3 linked regions of the Lepisosteus oculatus genome follow. The protein of the gene in region 3 purifies or fractionates together with the protein of the main gene of each other region. This does not show direct contact. Links are inferred from orthologs where the notes say so. Each region holds a gene or a part of one and is shown on either strand. Other genes may lie near its edges.

The links.
Region 1: the proteins of rassf1 (region 3) and sav1 purify together in Homo sapiens (affinity purification with western blotting; 3 studies listed by BioGRID, with this or other methods). This does not show direct contact. The link is inferred for Lepisosteus oculatus from reciprocal best matches to the Homo sapiens genes RASSF1 and SAV1.
Region 2: the proteins of rassf1 (region 3) and map1b purify together in Homo sapiens (affinity purification with mass spectrometry; 3 studies listed by BioGRID and IntAct, counting the BioPlex papers as one, with this or other methods). This does not show direct contact. The link is inferred for Lepisosteus oculatus from reciprocal best matches to the Homo sapiens genes RASSF1 and MAP1B.

What each region holds. Positions count from the first base shown.
Region 1 is NC_090703.1:13,047,396-13,054,819, forward strand, and holds the start of sav1 (protein salvador homolog 1), read right to left. Parts: upstream 3,043-7,424; 5' UTR 2,628-3,042; coding exon 2,534-2,627; intron 403-2,533; coding exon 1-402. UniProt on the Homo sapiens protein: Regulator of STK3/MST2 and STK4/MST1 in the Hippo signaling pathway which plays a pivotal role in organ size control and tumor suppression by restricting proliferation and promoting apoptosis.
Region 2 is NC_090698.1:24,228,365-24,236,377, forward strand, and holds the start of map1b (microtubule-associated protein 1B), read left to right. Parts: upstream 1-4,927; 5' UTR 4,928-5,031; coding exon 5,032-5,212; intron 5,213-8,013. UniProt on the Homo sapiens protein: Facilitates tyrosination of alpha-tubulin in neuronal microtubules. Phosphorylated MAP1B is required for proper microtubule dynamics and plays a role in the cytoskeletal changes that accompany neuronal differentiation and neurite extension.
Region 3 is NC_090699.1:64,638,026-64,645,151, forward strand, and holds the start of rassf1 (ras association domain-containing protein 1), read right to left. Parts: upstream 3,055-7,126; 5' UTR 1,802-3,054; intron 533-1,801; exon of another isoform or gene 445-532; intron 1-444. Other genes in the region: zmynd10 (zinc finger MYND domain-containing protein 10), read right to left, coding at 4,332-4,431, 4,912-5,037, 5,958-6,079, 6,240-6,365. UniProt on the Homo sapiens protein: Potential tumor suppressor. Required for death receptor-dependent apoptosis. Mediates activation of STK3/MST2 and STK4/MST1 during Fas-induced apoptosis by preventing their dephosphorylation.

The sequences.
Region 1 (7,424 bases), on a different chromosome or scaffold from region 3:
CATAGTATCTATAGTCCTCGTGAAACCGGTCTGGCACGTGTCGCCGCCGCTGGCCATCGTAATAGGGGTCAGGAGAATAGAAATAGCGGGCAGCGCCACCGGCGTCGCCATTCTCTGCCATCGGGGTGGCCTCGGTGAGGAAGGACTGCGAGGACCCGCCGTACTCCCGCGGAAGGTCTCCCAGGCTGCGGGGAAGGTAGGGCGGCGCCGACAGGCGGTTGCTCTCGCGCCTGGCAATCTCGTGGGGCGGCCTCTGCACCGGCCCGCGCAGGAAGCTCTTGTTCCGGGAGACCACTGGCTCGCCCGGCCCCACGGGATACCCTGCGGGACCCTGCTCCGGCAGAGGGATCTCGGCGCGTCTGGGAATGGTAGGCCCATGTCTTATAAATGAGGGCATCAAATCTGGAGGAGTGAAGAGGAGAGGGACCCCGCTGGTCAATGGCAACAAACCGCATGACCGCAAACTGGACTACACGAAGTGCCATCAGGCCTTTTGCTTGATCGTCAAACAGTTCAGTTCCTATGGTTTTCTTTCAGAAGCAAGTGCAGTACCGGACTCGCTCAGCTGACTCGAAGAGAAAGCACAAACACACAGGGACAACTCCCTGAGACAATATCTCACAGCAGCGACTTCACAAACCAGGGCATACTCGGAGCTGGTAATAAAGCCGGCCGGTTATTTTTTAGTCTCCATCAGAGAGCGTTTCTAAAAAACACATGCTTCTTAAAATACAATTTATTCAAACACCGATGTAAAACCGCATTTCTGAAGAACAACTGAGCTCAACCAAGTCTTGTTTTGTGTTCCACTTTTGCTAAAACACCAGATCATACAAGACTGTAACACATGGTAATCAGCGATGGGACAGTTCCAAATTGTACATTTAATGCATTTACTTCCCCGCCTCTAGTACCAGACTCAAAACACTTATGATGGCCCTTATAAAAATACACCAAACAAACAAAGTAAGAATTCCAGCTGGTCGAGTAAAGCAATTTCCTAGTCAAATTGTTTTGCTCATCTTTCGCCAACAGTGCATATTTTGCAAAACAAATCACCTGCCACTGGCTCAACAAACCAGTTACATAAATATAGCGGAATTTCCAGGAAAACAGTTTCTTTTTTAAGCCTGACTATTCCTCTTGTTCAGTAAGCCGAATGTAGTTTTTTAAAGAAAGCATTCAGCTAATGTAAAAAAAAAATAATTTCACAGATATTAAAGGGAGACTGTAAAGAAACTAGCATTAACATAATCTGACATCTGAGGAAATGACACATTACATGTCTTGTGAGAGCCACTTATGATTATTATAATAAGGGTTATTATTGAGTATGTACTTCAAATATTCATTTTTACACTTTTAACAAAAACACCAAGAAGGTAATTAAAAAATACACATGTGAAGCACCAACATGCTAACGGACAGTTCGATAACAATAAAAAATGTTCTAAGAAGAACTCAGTCAGTCCATTGAATACAGATATCTGCTACAGGAAGTCAAAACTTTTACTGATCTCTAGGTAAGAAACACATTGAGACATTTTAGACTAATAGGCTATGTGAGCTCACCTTTTCATATTCTTAGATTGCTCTGTGCAATGTGTAAGAAAGAAAAGTTATTGGTAATTTACTGAAATGCAGGAAAAAGGTTGTTCTAGGTAAAAAATTGTAACATGCTGCTTCTCACTGTGTGTGAAGTGTTTGTAGCCTTCACAGTCATTAGAGTAAAAGTGACTTTGATATGCTACAACATTAAAAGAAAACTCGAAGAATGTTCACAGCTTTCATCTCCCAGCTGGTTCTACCCACTAAGCAAGATCATGTAACCTGAGAGTGGAGCTGAAGTGTAAGCAAGCCTTGATCTTTAACACTGACCCTAAGCATACAAACAAAAATGACACCTTAAATCATTATTTTAAAACAAAACGAATAGCCTATTTAAAAAAAAAAAGTCAATGCATTTTTTTCCCACAAATCCTAAAAAGTGACCAATTAAATGGAGATGGGGGTGGGAGGGGAGTTACCCTTAACGACTTGTGAATTGCAGCAAATAAAATAAATCTGAAGATTTTAATCCTGGCAGCAGTTAGCAAGGGAGAAAAATATCTGATAAACTGAAATACGTTAAAAAAGTTTCTATTCGCAGCACTGTACCCACATCTTCAAATTAAAGGAATGTATAAAGTGAATGAGAAAATAGCCAACTGTGACGGGGTTTGAATAGTTTCGGCAGGGCACAGTGAGGACCTTGTGTTTTTTTTAAACCGTGAACTGTGGCTCTCGCATCCAAACGCAACCACTCCCATCCCATCTTTTATAACATCGGGAATGCACAACGCTAATGCTGTTCAATACATTAGACGTTAGACTCGTAGAAAGAGCAGGGACATTTCGAATTAAGAATAACATAAGCAGTGCATATTGGTATATGCAAGTTAGATAACTTTTTTAGCAATGTAAACACTTGCATCTGAGGACTGCAGGAAAACGAGAGAATTTAATTCTCCCCCCATTTTGAAGCTCAACTTACTTCTCAAGAGGGGGGACGTCTCCTTTTTTACGTATTTTCCGTGTACCTCGGCTGGTTTCGACGCTTCGTTTTTACTTTTCTTTCGGGAAAGCATAACTCGAACTGCGAGGGAGACATCAATGCGACGAAACAACTTCGGTGCGCCTCAGGAAATCGAGAAGACCGCGGCACAGGAGCTGGAGCAGAGGAAGAGGCATTTTCATTTTTCACTCGGGGCAGAGGCAGCCTGGGCTTCGACGTAAATCCATTTGTTAGTGCCAAAACAAATCGGCAGACTAAACGGGCTTATGAGAAGTTTGAGCCCGCGAGGAAAAAAAAAACAGTTTTTTTTCAAACCAGAAAAAACATATCGCGTTGCATTTCAGTTAATATTCATAATTTGCCCCCGAAAACCACTTTTACTTGGTTTCCCCTCAGCCTGTTGCTCCTATCCTATTCCCACTCCTCTCCACTCAACATATAAACTTCCCTGCTTCTCAGGGGTTTTTTTTTCCAACACGCAAAGGGTTCTGGGATAGGTGACGCATTCGCCTGAGCTCTGTGGTTAAGGTGATGGGACTGCCTGAGCTCTGAGGCGTTGTGAGGCTGGTGGAGCTGGTTCCTATGGAAACTCCACAGCACGGAGTCAAGAGTTGCTGGAACCGTGCAGGACATAGCTGATGCTCCCTCTGATTTAAAACTATTTCTTGATTAATAATTCGTTGAGAATTTGCAACCGTTACTTGACAGCTAATTGGTTTCTTACAGGTACCCAAAACTCGGTTTGCTAAGCCTGCTATTGGGAACCTTGTGGAGGTCCTTTGGCACATATAAAGTAAAAAAGACAACAGTGCTTTCGGAATATTAATAATTCTTAGGATAGCCACTTCCACAGTGAAAAACTGTGGTTTACCTACAAATTATTGTCAGATCAGAAACGCAGTTCAAATCAAAAGATGAAATGGCACACATCATTCCTTGTTCAACGATTGGGTGTTTATGGCAGCACATTTTATAACTTTCATAGTGGAAATTAATTTTTTCCATTACCACTTCAGTTGGAATTAGTGTTATTCCTCTGAAATCAATAGATTTCTGTAAAGATAAATATATAAGTAACAGAAAACGCAATGTTTCAGCTGTGGAGCCTTCTTCAGGTGACACACATCCGAAATGTTGTGTTTCCTTTCTTTTCAGCATGGAATAAGCTCGTTACCTGTTCCTGTATATATAAGTGTTTACCCTGCCTTGTGCCTGCTGCTTGCTGAGACAGATTCCAGCTCCCATGAAACCCTGAACTGGAAGAAGCAGTTAAAAAGTGGGTGGATATATACTTTTAAATATAGTGTTCTATGGTTCTATCATCTTAGACCTTTGCCCATGGAGCCCAACTAAACAGTATTAAAAGAGCCAGCTTTTGGAAGGATGATTCAAAATTGGTAGCAACTGTGTAATTCTTAGAGTCTTGGAGTTGGGGACTTCATTCCACAGTGGATCAATAAAAACAGGTGATCACATGTGACCAATATGATAGGAATCAATACCTACCAATAAAAAATAAAGTGCTTCTGATGAATACTCTGTTTCTTAGTGCAATATAATTATGATATTGCTGTTGAAGCATCAATTAGTGACAGTGCTTCCACCATACAGTGCTACAGTCCTTGATAATACATTGCTTTTTCAGGTGATTTTTACCCCAGGCTGGTGTGATTTCAATACATGAAATGGTAGGATTTATTAAGGCTAAAGAATTAAGCTGATTTTGACATATAGTATCTGGAAAAGGAGTGGTGAAGGTATTTAGAATATGCAAGTGATCCCACAATATGTGCTAGCTTCCAGTTATTTCCTGGTATGTTGTATGCTCATAAATTATACCAATATCAATGGCAAAGTATGTGTTTCTATTTTTTATTCTTCTTTGTTTTTTAGATTAAAATATTTGCCAGTGACACAAGCAGGGAAGAATTTATCAAGGTATTTTTCAGAAATGTGTCCAAGATCTGGGGTGCTATTGAACATATTATTTTCTGTAGCAAACTTTATACAGTCAACCAATGCCTGATGCATATGATCCCTTTTTTATATTTCAGTGTGTCTGATAGATTTAATTTTTAAAACTGGTAGAAACTCTTTTCTCATGGCTTACCTCACAATATTGTTTTGAGCCCACTGTATTTTATGAATGGTACTTGCCATCTCAGTGTACGTGGGTTTGGGTGGTAGCTGATGATGAAAATACACATAATAAATGTGCATAACTGTAGCAACTCTGCCCAGAGTGTAGCATGCCTACATTTCAAGAGCCAGGGAAAATCAGACTTCATTCCAAGCTGAAACAAATTCCACTTTTTCAGATGATGAATTTATGAAGACTTGTTGCAAAATATGTATAGCTACTAAGTCTTTTACATTAACATAAATACACTGTACATTAGTTATATTTTATTTTATTTTTGGCAAGCTAGTACTAATTCTGTTATATATTATCCAGATGTGCTCTGTATCCAGACATTGAGATGGAACATCTGGTTTGATTATATGTTGTGTGGCAAAAGAAAAGCTTGTTAATTTTGAACATTCTTTTCTTTCCAATGACTCATAGCATTAAGTTGTGGATTCATGGTAAATCCTGTTTTAAATGTTGTCTCTGTGACCATAGAGATGAATCAGTCTTGCATGAGATCCAAATTTCACAACTGGATTCTTAAATGGGGTACTACATTCCTCTCTTTTATTAAATAAATCATTTTGGCCCTTAGTTGAATATACAATGAACTTCCCCCAGTTTATAGAGTATATCTAAGTATTTGTTCCGATGTGTGAGCTTGACCTATTCACAGCATGCACTCATCATATTTGGTGAAGTAAACTAAATGATCAAAACACAAAGTTAGAACTTTTTACAATGTCATCATAAGTAATCTTTTAATTACCTGCAGGGCTTATTTACATAGGACAATAACATGGAGTCACATTTGTAATTTTTTCTTTTTCCAATAGTTACCTGTCTCTGGACCTGACTCTTTTATGCAGTTAAAATGAGCCATTTAGAAGGTGGATTGATTTTGCTTTGTTTGGATTGGTTTAGTTTTGCTTTTTAGCATCCCGCCAAATCAACATGAACTAATGATTTGCTCTAGTGGTTGAATCAGCATCCATAAAACATTCTGTGACATGTCTAGGATTTTCCCAATTATACTGTATTCATCTAACTTGCTTGGAATAGCCAATATCTTTGTCTTTTTCATAGATTATATATAAATGCTGTCCAGAGCTTGTTTTAAAGGAGAACTGCAGTCCCAATTTCTCAGACCATTTATTAAATCCCGGTAACAAAATTAATTAATTGATGGTATTGCAAAATTTGACAAATTCCAAATTAATCACAAATTCCAGAAACGTACTGTATGCTCACCTTGTTGTCGCAAACCGCTGGTCTCGCTGCCGCCGGGAGTGAGAGTTCTTGTGAATTGTGATGTGAAGCAGCCCCTTCCTGCTCGCTAGTCACTGTAGTGACTAATGTAGTGTGATGTATAAGTGAATAAGAACAGGTTGTGCAGCACACATTTTACAGTAGAAATGTTCCAGTGTGGCCTCTGTGCAGAGTTAACAAGTACTGTAAGTAGTATTCGTAGGCAAAACTGACTCGGAGTTGAGAGCAATATTTTTCATGTATTAGGTATTCACAAGCCTGCTTTTTTAGAATGTAATAAGACCGCTTCACATTAGCAGAAGTTTTTGCCTTGTTCTGAATTGCAGGATTGACCCTGTGCAATCCTGGAAATCTAATTTACTTTGTGTTGGAAATTGGAGGTTTTTACAAGTTACTGTGTACATTGTACAAATGCACTCATCCACGCCGACTTTTTCTAAACATAATAATAGCATTGCAGTTCCTCTTCAAGCAATACTGCATTCAAATACAAGGTGAAAAGCAAGCCATTGCACCTTGAAGCTTGAGTTTCTATGTGAACTGTACGACATTGCTACTAGAGGTTGAATCGATCCACACAGATCAACAGCTGTTGATACGGGTCTGTTCAAAACGTCTGAGTGAAGTGAGCACACAGAGCAGAGATAAACCGCCGTCGCGGAAGGACTCAGGGGACACACGGCACATTGTTTTGGGCTTGGGAACAGAGACCCTCCCCTCTGCTGTGCTACACCCCTTCCTCCCCACCACCCGCCAACATCCAGATAACGAGACGAGCGCACTTGCCTCTGAGCACAGAGGATGCAGGGATGACAGATGGGGACTCAAATTCTTGTTTTCCCTAAAGATCACGCTCTGAACTGCACATTTCCTTCAGCGGGACAAGACAAACCCCGCCAGAGGAACAGCATGAATCCAGTTTTGCTACCAGGCCTCTTAGACATTAAAGCAGAGGCGTAGCCACGGGTCGTGCTCAAGTCCACTGAATATTTAAAGGCACGGTAAAAGCTCCGTGAAGTTCGCCCCCTACAGACAGCACAAACGATGAAACCCACCTCATTCGTTAGTGCTACGTTTCTGCCAGTTTGTGCCATTAAAAGTAGCGTCTGTGCTGTTTTCGTTCCCGAGATACAACGCCTTGTTTTTCCGGGGATCATGTGACCATGCACGGTGACTTTGACCTCCAGTGATCCCGTCTGCCGAGTTCAAGCGCTGTTACAGTTTAGCTCGTACCCTTAACATTTTATAGACAACCAATATCCATAAACATATGAGCCTCATTAGATATGAATAATACTAAGACATGACACATGCCAACAAGTTAACCATCTATGACATAAACCTATGGTTGTAATGTATGTAAAATCACCGTGATTGTTAGATCTATGGTTTTTATTTTCTATGGCACGTTTTCCTTTCTTTCCCTACCGTGACACGCTGTTGCCAAACGCGTAACTGTGGGATACCATAGTG
Region 2 (8,013 bases), on a different chromosome or scaffold from region 3:
GCATTTGTGGTTACATAGTGTTCCAGGAGAGCCTTGCAAACATATCATATCAAAAACACAATAACCTAAATCAATCAAGGGTTTTAAACTACAGTAGACGGGCCAGACCTTTCAAAGAATAAAGATAGAATGAGGAAAACAGGAGTGATAGAACCATTAGGAAACTACCATCATAACAGAAAATACTTTGAGGTATATTTAAAAAGTATAGAGGCAGAGTCATATCTCTGGAAAGAAGATATCAAAGAATGAGTCAAAGGATAAAAGAAATAGAATGTTAATGCACATTTTTCACTAAGATGTGTCTAAATCAAACCGATCTAGATCAATAATGATAATCTAAATTATCATAGATCAATATATCTTACATCTATTGCATACGATGTTATGAAGGTTAAAAATAAAACTAAACGAGGAGACAATTAGAGTTCTACTAAGTACTCAAAGCTTATGATGTAGTATTATATACATATAAATTATATTTATATGTGAACTTTCAAAAATGGCTTTGATGACATTTGGCTTAAAAGGATCATTTTTAAACTGAAGGTCATAGACATTGGCAGTAAGAAAACAGAAAAATAAGGAGTGAATACTCATATTAGGGTGATGTAATGAGTGAACCACCATGGGATCTGTGTCAGATCCACTGCTCTTCAATTTGATTTCAATTATCTAGGTTATGGTATAGTTATAGTAGTGGTAAACTAGTTTGGAGTTTGAAGTTTGGAAAATACAGTATCATAGAGTTAAAAGCATTAGAAAATAATGAAAATGAAAATTCAAGAAAATAGCTAGCAATTAAATTCAGAAAACCTTAGACAAAACTCATAAAACACCTGGCTGTTGTCATTTAATGAACGCATGGCATGTTACAGTACTTGTAGTTAACAAAAATATAAGTAATATACAAGATGGAAAACACTGGATTGAAGAAGCCAACTATTAAGACGATAAAGAAGATGTTGATTCCTTTCAAGATCGTGAAGGAAAACAATATCAATGTTAGAGTTGTTTAGAAGCCACTGACCAAAAAAAATCAGACCAACACATCTTTTACTTTACAAGTGTACTGTTTAAAGGTTGGAGAGGTGAACTACACAGAATTATATTCAAGTTGTTATGCAATCTGAAATTTGGCTTTTGGAGTAGCAGATAACACCTCTGGCAACCACAGGAATGTGTCCATGAGTTATAAAAGAGTTATAAAGGACAGCACTGTTTGCTGTCAGTATTTTAAACTTTTTAATATGTGTCAGTGTGTGGCAGATGGTCGAAAGTGCTGTATATTAATTAATCAGATACACTTAATAAGCACAAGCATTGTTATCCAGATTTTTCAGGGCTCATACAGGCAGTCGATGACCCGAAACTAATCTAAAATCTTTTAATTAAATGATTAAGAAACACTAAGGAAAGCCTTTCGATTCTTAATTTACGGAGGTTTTGTGGTCTCCTTCAGAAGCTTGGGGCCTTCCTCAAAAGGACACAAATGTGTGGGTGAAGTGCCAGGAAAAAAAATTCAGATAACTGACCAGACCCACTGGCACTCTTTGTTCTTTTATTTCACTGAATGTCCATTAGGAAATTGCATTTGTAAAACTTGGTTTCATTCTAAATGCAGCTAACTCTCTACTAAATTACTAGGAATGACAGAAGCACCCAGGACCATTAAAACTGCTTGAGACGAGCCCTCATGCTACCTCAACAGGAGTTTCTGTCAGGAACAGTTCTTTCTGGCCCCTATGCGGACGACACAATCTGGAAAGTGAAGAAACAATAGGGAAAAATATCATGCAGGAGTGGGGCAGGAGACAGGGGGGCGTGTCCAAGGTGAACAGGTGTCCAGGGGAAGTGAGTCCGGGGCGAATAATCCAAGCATAAATCCAAAAGGGAAGTCCAATACGGGAGGCAGAGTCCAAGACCAGGGGATCCAAAATAATTAAAAACCAGAACCGGGTCAGGACCGGCGGGGCAGGGGATCAGGAACAGATATTCCTGGACCCCGGGCTCTCACGAAATGGGATTCAATGAGAAGCCTCGGGCAAATGGCTGCGTCTGGCTTTAAAGGTGGAACTAAAGAGGGGCTGGAATAAGGAAGAGGTGTAAACAATGGGGGAAACGAGGAAGGGCTGGAGCACCCTTAAGAGGAGGAGTAACGATCGTGACAGTTTCTGGATAATAATAATAATAATAATAATAATAATAATAATAATAATAATAATTCCTTACACTCATTTATTGCTGGACACTCCACTGTGCTTTACAGGTAATGGGAACTCCACTCCATCACCAATGAGCAACCCCATCTGGATGATGCGACAGCAGCCATAGTGCGCCAGAATGGTCAACACACACCAGCTATCAGTGGGGAGAAGAACAGAGTGATGAAGCCAATTCATAGATTATTAGGAGGCCATTAAAGGCCAAGGATAATTTGGCTGGGATGCCGGGGTTACACCCCTACTTTTGGGATTTTTAATAACCACAGAGAGTCTGTGACTCCGGGAATATGCCAACATCACTTTACCCTCGTACTACACTTTTTTAAAAGCACAAAGTTCTCTGTCATATTAAAATACTTCATAATAAAACAGGAAAAAGGCAAAACAGACTTAAAGCTATTTTAATTTTTGTAGAAAATTATGGGGAACATGCAGCATTTTCTAAATGAACTAGCCTCTGATTGACTGTGAAAAGAAAATTACCCATTGTTGCTTTTTGTGATTATCCCATAATGAACTGTCCCAATGGGATCCTCTTTCCAATTCAGACTGAATTTATGTATCTCTTATCTCAAAGGATACATTTAGAAAAAATGTACAGTAATACTTTCCTAATCTAGCCTACCCAAAGTAATTGAATAACCCTACACACAAACGGTCTTGCCCCAATCAAGCACTAGCTGCAGGCAATCCCTGCAAACGCTCAGATCCATTAACCAATCAGGACAGCTCACGGTTACTGCACCCTCCACATCCCGACAGATTTAAACCCTCTCCTACCCTCATTTCATTGCTCAGTATTGGAAGTTCCTCAGGAACGCCTTGCCTCGCCTTTCTCTCTCGCGCATCCTCGACTTCATTTATCGTCTAGCGATTTGGCGTTGGTAGTACCGATTACTTTCCTCGTTAACATCTTTTCTGACCTATTTGCAGAACTCCGCATAGGGTCCATTAACTACAACAGTGCTGCATGCCTTACACTTCCAGCAGTGGCCTTAGCTTTCCCAGGAGGTCTACCATCACACCTGCTTACACCTGCTTAGCTTCAGTGGGTCGCCAGTTGCGAATTGCAGAGAGATATCACTGCTGACATTTTGGAACTTCATTTGTGCTTCTACGGTGTTTGCTGTTCTCTGTTTTGGTTTCATCTGCAAACCTGACTAGAGGTCTCAGTACAAATCCCTGTGGTAGTCCCCTAATTACAGGTGCATCCCCCATATTTGAGCATTCACCCCTTATCAGGCCTACTGTCTGTAATTTGAGAATTCATCTTTTATTAGGCACTTTATCAAAAGCATTCTGAAAATCCACATACATTGTATCAGACACTGTTTGCTCTGCATTTATCTGTTATTGTTGTTCTTAGTTCAAAAACCTCTAACTAGGAAAGACCTACCTTTACTAAATCCACATTGACTGTTACCTAGGAATTCTTTCTATTTACTATAGGTGAACATCTAGATTCTAGTTTTAATAATTGCTTTCATTACCTTTCATGTGACAGATGTCAGTCTTATTGGCCTACAATTACTTGGGTCAGTTTTGCCTCCCGTCTTGTAGATGGGCACTACTTGGACAATTTTTCAGTTCAGGGTCTTGAGAGACTGTTAAAGGCCTTGTGTCAATGGTTTCTGATGTCAGTATAGGGCCTGGCAATTTATTAATAAATAAGTGTTTTCTTCTTCTGCCTGAGTCATGTAGCCATGTTGTTGGTTTCTTCCCTAGTGAACACCTGAATGAAATACTCAATTAGCACATCAGCCATTTACTGTATCTTTTAATATCTATATTTACTAACAGTTTACTGGGATACATTTTACTCTCCCATCATGATTCTTTTGCTGTTGTAGTACTGAAATATTTTTTTTATTATTTATTTTAGCCTCCATTGCAAAATACCTTTCAATATCTCTCTTGGCTTTTTTAATATCCCTTTTCATCTGTACTTGCAGTTCCTTGTGCTCCATGTCTTTAACTGGATCCTGATGTTTAATTATTTTATAAAGTCCATTCCTTTCCCTTAGAGTTTTTCTGATTGATTTTTCTAACCATTCAGAATACTATTTATTAGCTTTTGTCTTACACACTCTTGGGATCTGTTTTGTGCTTCAAGGAGACTCTGTTTACATTTTTTCCATCCATTCTTCACTGATTCCATACCTGTCCTTCCCCACTTCACTTCTTATGTGATCTGCCTCATCCCTTCAAAGTCTGCTTTCCTGAAATTGTAAATATCTGATGTGGTTGTGGACTTCGTAAGTACAGTTTCAAGGTATACTCCAAAGCACACTATACTGTATCACAGTTTCCTAATGGTTCTATCACTTCAGTTTACCCCAGTCTGTCTTGATTGTCTGAAAAGAGGAGATCAGTACAAGCTTTTCCTCTTATAGGTGGTCCGACAAATTGGGTAACAATGCAGTCATTAACCATGTCTACCACTTCTGTTACAGCTGCTGTTTTTCCTCTTCATTTACAGTGTATGACAATACCACAATATGCAATCCAATATTGAAAATGATTATAAGGGAGAAAAGTAGATGTATACAGTATATTTCAGTATTTGGGGGTTGAATACCCCTTTAGTTCTCTCATGTATTTGCTTCCGGGGGGTTTGATTCGCTGCAGATGACATCAGTTCTGAAAAAAAAAAAGCACCGTGGTTGCCAATGCATTCTCTCCTCCCTGGGTCCTAAGCATGACACAACGTCTGGGGTATAAAAAGAGCGAACCACTCCTTCCAAGCTTACTCCCCGTCTGGTGGTAGCTGTTCTGTTCTCGTATTCAGGAGGACAGGGGGCTGAGGATGGCGTCGTTAGTAGAAACGGCAGACACCGAGCCTACTTGTAGTGGCAATTTGATATCTTCTCCTTCATCTTCAAGCCTTTCTCACCGGTTTCTCGACAATAAATTCTATCTCCTTGTGGTTATCGGAGAAATTGTTAGCGAGGATCACCTGAGATGTGCCATTGCAGATATAGAAAGAGGTAAGAAGGGAGTGTGTGCAATTCAATATTTCATATACTAAAAAAAAGTTAAAAAAGTAAATTATTTTATTGCGCGTTGCTAAAGACACAACAACCTAAATGGCAGATTCGCCTCAAAAAATGGTTTTTAAATTATATTTAGAGGTTATTTCTGCTTTTTAGATAATTTCAGTGTAACCTTGAACAAACCTCTGCTGTGCATCTAATAAAATTTTCAGTATATAGTTCTGTTTGGATCCGTTTGCAGTTTATGCGATTGACTTTTCTCTTAAATATCGTTATTATTTCATTGTTTATCTTTGTATTGTTAAAACTGCTGCACAGCCCCTCCCTTTCGGTAACTGTAAATCTGCGGGTGCCGCAAATCAAACAGATGGCATCAGCCTATAGTGCATTCTTTCCAGTTAGGTGATGTGCAACTACCAGCTATTATATCAAAAATGAAATTGAATAGACTTTCAAATAAATTAAAACTGCGTGAATCATCCTAGTACATGTTGCGAATGACGACTCTAACTTGATGCTGCGCATTCATGATTCAGCATTTTGTTTCTAGTATTCTGTCGCTAAGTATTTTCCGAAATTCGTGTTGAATAAGCTCTTTGTCGCATTACCTATTGGAACTACCTTTCAAGATTGCGTTATTGTTCATTTCACATTACGTTTGTTTTCTATGTGTTTTATACTCTGAGGGATTTAATTCTAAGAACTATTTTTATCATAACAGACAAACATGATTAATTTGGTCACGTTTTTCATTATTTTTCTTCTAAAATGAAATTCTGAAAATCTATTCTAATTAGAATGTAAAATATGTCCCAGGGGTATTTCAAATGCATGGGTACTGGGCATTTTAATACATTTCATAATGTAAAGCTGTACTGTAAATAATCATTCACCTTTGTTGCAGATAAACTGAGTCTGAACAGTGTTTCAGTGGTTATTGTGTTACGCATTTGTGTTTTTGAGATGCACTTAAGGTACTTGAATAATGGAACACTGTTCAATATGATGCAAAAAAATAAAAGATGAACTCTTAAGATTAGAAGGTGATTGAAACATACAGCTGCGCCTGCCTCACACGGTGAAATACTTCATCATTCATTCATCCCCTGCATTTCGGCTTGTCTCCGATACCGGCATGTGGGCGTGGTTCAGTCCGCAGTGCGGTCCCTACGGAAACTCACTGAGGACTTTCTTCCGCCACAGGGCGTTCCACAGACAGGCAGGGCATGTCTCCTTGACACCTTGACAGCGCTAGAAGCTTTAGTTTGACAGTATTCCTGAATAACAAAATGCAATTTGCGCCGTCATAAATAAAAAGAAGACAAAGAAAACACGACTGCTTTGAAAAAAAAGCAATAGAAATATAACCAGACGTACTGTGCTGGGAGTCTGGGACAGTATGCAGCTAGGTTAGATACCACTTAATGACTCACCTACTGTATAGCAAAGGGTTTACTTCTTTATTGCTCTGTGTAGGCTATGCAGTCATAGACTGCTCAAACACAGAGCATAAATTCCAGAAAGGACATTATTACTTATTTATCTGGATGACTCTTTTATTCACAGCGACCTACATTTGCATCCATAGGAGAAGTACAGTACCTCGCTCAAGAATACAACAGTAGTATCTCACTTGAGATTTGAGCCCACTACCCTTCAGTTATAATTCCACAACCCTAACCTGCAGTCTGTCTACTGCTGTTTGGCTGTAGATTCAGATGGGCTGTTGTTTAACAAAATATAAATGATTGGTAAGATGCAAGAACACTGCAGAATTGTTTTAAGAATAATTTTAATTAGATGCATACTGTAGTTTATGGTTCTTAAATTTTCTCAGATTTTTAAAATGAGAGTTTTAATAATAGAGACCCAACAAAGAAATTACTGTACATAATTAGAGACCAGTATGGTTTCCAAAAGTTAATGCTGTAAAAATGTATCCAACAACTGCAGTATATCTACAACAGTAAATTAAAGTGAAACTATTTTTCACAGCAGATTACTAAATGTCTGATTCACCTCTGATAAAAACTAAAGACTACAATTTTTTTAATTCAACTGATTACAATATATTCATTTTCCAGGATATATAAATCTATCAATATATAAATGTACCAGGAATTAATTTTTTATATGCTGGTCATAATTTAGGAAAATGAGTCATTGCAGTATACTTTTAGAAACAGATGTTTATCAGCATTTCTTTTTCAAAAATCCAGTTCAGTGAAATCTGTGATATATCAGAAAACATGGCATGTTTTAGATGAAGAAGTCTGATATTTTACTATTGCATTCCTCAACACTGTATTTAATAACAAAAGATGACTCATCCTTTCTTTGTATGCCATTGAACCTGATTAAGAAACAAACCTACATTTTAAGTGGCAGATCTAATGCAGCCTTTTGAATGAGTTGAATTAGGGCTTGAGTTAAGTTGATGGCATTCTTGACACAGTGCTGGTAACTGAATCAACAACATCTGTGGTGGCTTTCTAGTGTTTTTTTCTGAAATATTAACATTTAGGACTAATGAAAATGTCACCAAAGTACATAAAATATATTTTACATTTATATAAAAATAAGGTTGTTAATATTATATGTTCTAAAGACCTTTTCATGTACTGTATGCCCTATTGTTGATTCGGGATAACCCCCCCTAATGGCCAGAATTTGGAATTTTGAGGACATTGTCAAAACATTGTTTTGCTACTGCACAAAGAGACACTTGTTGTTATAGTCATTCTTTTCATAGTTGTTTTATGAATCAAATGACCTTTCCTATTGTACACACACTC
Region 3 (7,126 bases):
TCATGCGCTGTCGAAGTTTAATCACTTAAAAAAAACGTATTTATGCTTAACAGAATAACAAAAATTACAATACAAACGAGAGGACACATAACAATTCAAGACAAAAAGATAGTCAGGGGTGCATATTACTACATTAATTCAAGTTATGATTAAACAAATTAAATAAAAATAGGGTCCGCACCGCTTTCATATTTTTGCACTTTGAAATAGTCTGCAAATACCCCCTTACACCCATTTTAAAATGCCCAAAGGGTTCTTCTCAGGCCACTTCATGTTATGTATATAATAACGCGCCATTATAATCATTAAATTGATTACAAACGAAATTGTAATATTGTTTTCGATGGGGCTGAAACTTAACATAACATCTTTTTCATCCAAACAAATATCAATATTGGTTTCTTTTTTAATACGAGTCTGCAACTTAGTCCAGAAAATATTTACCCTGGGACATAACCAAAACAAGTGCTGAACAGGTCGAAGTTTAATCGCGCTCGCCCTGCTGATCTGTGCTCTGACGTCTCAGCGCCCCGCGGTGCCACCTGCGCGCCGCTCCGCTCACGGGAAACTCCGACTTGATCCGCGCGTCTTTCACGCGCCCCGCGCCCACGCCCACGCCCACGCCACCGGGAAGCCGAGAGCACAGAAGAGGGGGTGACAGTCCTCCAAGGGCCACGCACGCCCCACACTGGGGGGCGCCCATGGCTGAGCCTGTCCGAGCTGTACAAGTAGGACAAGCATGCTCACAAGCTGGTGCAAAAATAAACAACCGTTCAGTTTCGCCACTAGTATAAAAACGTATAGACGTTTATTCCCCAACACACACATTTTTAAAAATGCAAATTCAAAAAAAAAAAGCTTCCAACAGTGAATGTAAAGCCTCTATTGATGCACGGAGCCACCGCGCACTCTGGAGATTTTCGTTATCAGAGCTTCGACTATTTTATTTTAACCGCTTGGGTGCAATCCGGTTATTTTCTTCCGGACAGAAGCGGCCCCCTCCGTGGGAAACGCATTTTGAACGCCGCCAGGCGCATCCCAGATTTTTAAAGGGCAAGCGCAGATGCTGAAACATCCCCATCTCCCCGCCGTGCGGGCGGTATGAGGACCCCGGGACACCGCGCTGATAGATCGAGCTACACTTCGTTCATGTGAATTTTATCACGAGAGAAAAAAAAAAACCACTTTGTGGCGCTCACATTATTTTAAACTACGGGTCATAAATTTTTTTAAAAACTTTTTTTCTCTCCTCGCTGAGCGGGGTGTAAAACGCGAAAAGAAATCAATGATCCCTTCGGGAGGGAGGGAATCAGTTGGGTGAAGCTGCGGGACGTTATCTCACGATGCCTCCGGGAGCTGTCCCCATCTGGGGCATTCCTCAGGACAACACGCTGACCCGAAAATGCGGAACGACCACTTCTACTTTTCGGAATGAATCGCACTTCTGCTCCTCCCTGGAAAAAAAAAATCGTTTACGCTCGGATATAACGTTCTGTCTGGAGCTGTGATTTTTGGGGGATTTGCAACTGTACCTACAACCCTGACCGAAGTAAAACCCCGGCAACGTGCCCGCTTTCATAGTGTGAAGTCTTCAGCATCAGTTCAGACCTCTCTGTGCATCGCCTGCCCGAGACTAAGCCCGCTTGTTTTCAAGCGCTGGGTAACCCACGAACTTCCAACAGCCTTTTAAAAATATATATATTTCACCGTCGTGATTTGTAAAAAATTACACGTCGCGTTCACGTCGTCCTCGAAAAATAAATAATGCATGTAAAGATGTAAGCTGGGACACACCACTTACCAAGGCAAGACTCGATCTAGGTCACCGACACACAGGCGTGGCTACAGTGGAACAAAAACTGTTAAGTTTCAAACGCTGCAGCAATTTAAAATGCCCTTCGTGATCTGGAATACTAATCCTCCGTTATTATGTAAACAAAAAAGAGTTCGTGTTTGTCGCCGGCAACCTTGGAAGGACGCAATGGAGCAGAAGAAAAAAAGATAACAGTCGTCCACAGTTTGCCACAGATGTATTTTTATTCAACGCAGTCCATTTCCCCAGCTAACAAGAGAGAGCAAGCGAAGCGAGTTAACTCCTTAAACGCGTTTGCGACCACAGGCGCAGCTTGTCAGCGGCTACGCTGTAGCAGGACGAGCTTCTCGGTTTAAAACACCGCCAGGGAATTTTCAGAAAGTCTGGCAGCTTCATACGGTCCTTCGGTTGTCCACGCACTGTCTAGCTGGTGCTTGAAAGGAGGACAGAGAGTAATTGTCTTGAAACACGGAGAACGAACGGTTTTTCTCTCGCGAAAAGTAGATGCAAGCAGAAGAACGCTACACGAACGAAAGAGACCCTTTTTTTTCCCTCCGAAAGCTCTGCCCCCTTTTTCTGCCCGCGCTCATGTGATTTTATTTTCTCCTCCGTGCAGGACAGCCGAAAAAAAAAAAGTCGAAACCTTGCACGGACGAGCCCGGAGAGACAAGCAGCCGTCTTCATGTGCTCCAGCCCGGAGCTGGGCGCAGCTGTCGCGGCGGTCACACGGAGAGGCGAGGCGCGATCTGCCGGGCGCTGTTATGCTGGAAGGAATCCGCTGAAGTTTCCGTAGAGAGAGTGGGTTGAGGAGGTGTGGTGTCCCGTCTCAGCAACGTGTTGCGAAAGGGAAAAAAAAGCGAGAAGGGGGAACATTCAAAGCCTTCATGTGCGAGATACGGAGACCGCGCAGAGCCCGGTTGTTGGTGTCGACTGCAAGCCATCTGCAAAAGCAATGATGTTTCAAAGGGTTTTCCACGAGGTTCCACCTTAAGCATCAAGTCCTACTTTTCGTCCTGGGGTTGTACCCGAGGGTGGGCGCTGGGCACACGATCTGTACTTTTAACTATTCCCGGGCTGGTGCTGGTAACGGGTTTAGTCCTGCAACGTCTTACCGCTTACACGCTGAAACCAGCTATAATAAACGATTAGGGGTGTCAAATAAGTGTCAGCAAAAAGACCCAACACACACAACAAATTATAGCGAAAGACATCGCCCCGTCCGTATACTGTAATACTGGAATAAACACTGGCGGTCAGAAACGAAACAGATTTTTTTTGGAGGGAATGAGAACAACATTCAGGAAGATGCAAAAGTTAAATAACTTCCCCTGACTAGTGCATGAAAGTTATTTATTACTTGTCAATGTTAGAAGTTTCTTTTTACAGGGAGATGTTTTACAGGTAATCATGTTCCATTAGGGTGTAGTAAACACCAAACTGTACACATTGTAGTATCACAACATACACAAAGATATATACACAATCATGCTACACCATGGCCAAGGGATTCGGTGTAGAGCTCTTGTGTCCTCTGGTTGGTTCTGCAATCGCTGATGCTCCTCCCGAGACTATGAACAGTTCTTTCCAGATGTGCAAGAGTGAGGTAACACCATCGTTCTGCTTCCAGTGAGAGCAACGCACGCAGACACAATCAGACAAGTTTGTATTTCTAGGCCAGAGTTTCTGAAGAAGAGAAGATCTTGGACGAGCTTTTAATCTGAAATAGCAAACAGACAATAAACTACTGCCATTGGCCATCTAGTGGTTTCTGGCAGAGGGTGCAACAGCCTCTCCATCACTGCGCAAACATGGCCTTCGGTATATTACCCAGTTAAACCACTGAGAATCTTTTAGACAAATGGGTTGGATGGATGTTCTCCTCCCATTTCTTAACCGGTATGTCTGCCATGTGTCTACATGCTGACATCTGAGCAAGGAAGACGTGTGTATTAATCTTTAGAAGAGATGTCATGTACTGTATGTCACAAGCGAGCCAATGTTCCTGTCCTTTGACACGAGTAAGCAACAGACAGTTCCCATGTGGAAAGAATACAAATAACACATCTTGATCAGCCAAAGAGGGAGGGATATGTTGAACACCATGATATAGTAGATAATTGCACAGTGTCTGTTTAGCATTTAATCTTTGGCAGGGAGCCTTGGATCACAAGTAAAGCCCCAATTCTCTGCTGCAAAAACGCCCTCATTTGTTTTTATTTTTGTGAGCTTGTGGTTATTGTGCTACTGTGAGTTTACTAATAAATGTACAGCAATCAAAGCTATGTGACTTAGACACTATTAAAAGGAGTTTTAGCTGAAACCAGTGCAACAATAGATGAATTTTCTCAGAACACCAATAGCTGTCCAACGTCACCACTCATTTAGTTTTAGCACTGCACTGACATTGACAGTATATTGAAGGGCATGTCAGGCAGACTGCTGGGACCCTGTGCTTTAAAACCTCAGTTCAGTCTGGGCTGTCTTTCCTGTTAGACCCACTGCTGACTCTTCTCGAGTCCTACGGCTTGACGTCCAAGTCCCCCCGGAGTCTGTGAAGAGCTTCGGCCATCAGCTCACACGCTTGCTTGTGTTTCGGCCAGTGTTTCACCTGACATTCCCTGCAGGCAGACAAAACAGGTTAGCCTTGCGAGTCTAGAAAATACTAGGGGACCCAGATTAAAAGATTTCGGCCGGTGCCAATTCTAATTGCATTTGTTTTTTGTTGCAACAGACATGCAAGGGGGGGGGAGGGGAGGAAATAAAAAAAAACTCAGTGTTACAAAACCATGCAGTAGAAAAAAAGCCAAATTTTCTTTCTTCCTACTTTCTAAAATATTTTGAAGCAGGGATACAGCCACATAAGGTTGGCTGCCCACCCATTTTCATACTGTCCAATAATTATTTACAAACACTGAATGGAGTCTCACACTGCCGGAGGGTTTTGTCATGACTGTGGGCCTTCGTATTAAATGCTGACACCGTCACACTGGGTCCGCTGCAGCTGCTCTTCGTTCTGCACAGCACTCTGGGATTGTCTAGGCCCGCGGGCTGCTACAGGATGTGAACCCACTGCGCCTTCCCCCGACGGGGCGTCTCACCTGCGGCAGTACCACTCGCTCTGGCACCGGGAGCAGCGCTTGGCGGCCTCACAGCCACAGGAGCCGCACTTGGGTTTGTCAGGGATGAGGTTCTCCATGACATCCAGACTGTAGGTCTGGGCCAGCCTGACAGGAGAGAGAGGGCAAGGTGACGCGAGGAAGGACACATCTCTCTCTACCCACACCTCAGACGCCGCATCTTCGAGGTGAGTGGCTTCTCAAGGATTTTGCGCACTCCTCCAGATTTACATCATACAGTACTAAGGGACAAGTTATAGGTTTATTCCATGCTGAAAAAAAGAAGAAAGAGAACACAACGTTTCGGCCGTGGAGCCTTCTTCAGGTGTGAGAGAGACAGGGAGTGACTGCCCTGTCTCTCTCACACCTGAAGAAGGCTCCACGGCCGAAACATTGTGTTCTCTTTCTTCTTTTTTTCAGCAGGGAATAAACCTATAACTTGTTCCTTTGCAGCCTACGCATGCTGACGCAGCTACCCACCTGAACTAATACAGTACTAAGGCTTTTTTTAAGCAGCCCTTAATAAATACAAATGTCCTTAATGGGGTAAGAAATACAGTGCCTGGGAGAATAAAGTAAGCATCTGTGTCATATTTTGACTTGATCATTAAATACTACATGTGGCTCTGAAAGGGGAAGTAGTTGTGTTTCAGAATATTTCCAGATATTTAGTAAGCAAGCTGTGCCAGGGGGTAAATTGGTCAAGAGAGCACATGCCTTTATCCCAATTAACACCGCTCCCCACCACCACCATCACCACCACAATGAACAGCTTTGTTACTAAACATTCTTCTTTCAGACCCAAATCAAGTGTTTAAGGAGAAAGCCTTATCACACAAGTACCTGCTGATGCCCTTTCTTACACATGAGACAAATGCTTTGATTGTACTTTTATTCTGCTAGGGCACTACCCCCTATAGATCTCAGTGGCAGGTCACAGTTATATGCTGCTGCATAAACTGAGGCATGTTTGTGTAGGCCGCACTCTCCCTCTGCAAAGTCCTCACACTCCTGCCCCTCTGCCTTACCTGTGTGCCTGTTGCCTCAGGTCCTCTTCAGAGGGGCTGAATGCTTGCTTCACTTGGTACTTAGCAATGGCCTTCCACTTCCCAGAGTTCTCTTTCATAATATTATTCCACATTTCCGGGATCTACAGATCAAGGCATGGTGAAATAAAAAAAGAACAGGCAAGGAAGAAACATCACCGCGATTTAAAGAACACAGTAGGTGAAGTGATGCCTTCTTGTCAAGCAGAAAGGAGTCACTCACTTGCTTGGTAGGGGACTAGTTCTTATAATGCGGTGCTTTACCTGTTCCAGAATGAGGTCCTTCTTAGGGGGTGCGGGGTCAGTGATGGCCAGCTGGCTGAGGAAGCGCTGGAGCTCGGCCAGATTGGGCAGCTGGTCAATCAGTACCTCGGTCAGGAAGCCACGGAGCTGGGAATACACTCACAAACATCAGGATCGGGCCAAAACAGGTCCTGCGCTTACAGTAACCAGAGCACAACACACAGCAGCCACTATCTGCGCTTGCCTGAAGCGAACTGCATCACACATGGCTGCTCTGCTCACTTAGCTACACCACGGCTCACCATGTGTCAGAATTTATATCATTTTGTGTTGGAGAGTATTTAACTGAATGTGATTCTGAAGATGTATTAAATACTGTATATATACTCATATAAATATACCTGTGTATACACCGCAGGTGAGAGCCGGTGGAAGGCAAAAACATATACCAGGCCAGTGAAAGGAAGATGTTGTACATGAGGGGATTTTCAGAATGACCACGTTTTTATCACCATTTATACTAAAACCAAACCACAGAAAGCATGTTTTTAAGACTAGGGTATATTGAAACGAGCAGGCACCCTGATCACTATATAACAATAATTTCTATAAGCTCATGAGCTTTTTGAATCATTTAAAAAATGAAAAAAGTAAAATTGAATTCACACAGTTGTCGCTTTCATCTTCCTAATCTGTCCACGTGTCTGATTTTGTTGTTTGCTTGCCCTCTGGCACAGTGGCTCTTCCCAGCTCGTTATTTTATACACCTTGACAGGATGTTTTAATTGGAAAAGAAGAAAAGCAAAACAGGCAAAGGGAAGTGGCTTCAATCGGAAAAGGCATCTGGGAATCTAGCGGAGTTCCTCTTAACAGGTCACAGTGAAAAGACGGCTCAGGGAAAGCGAGAC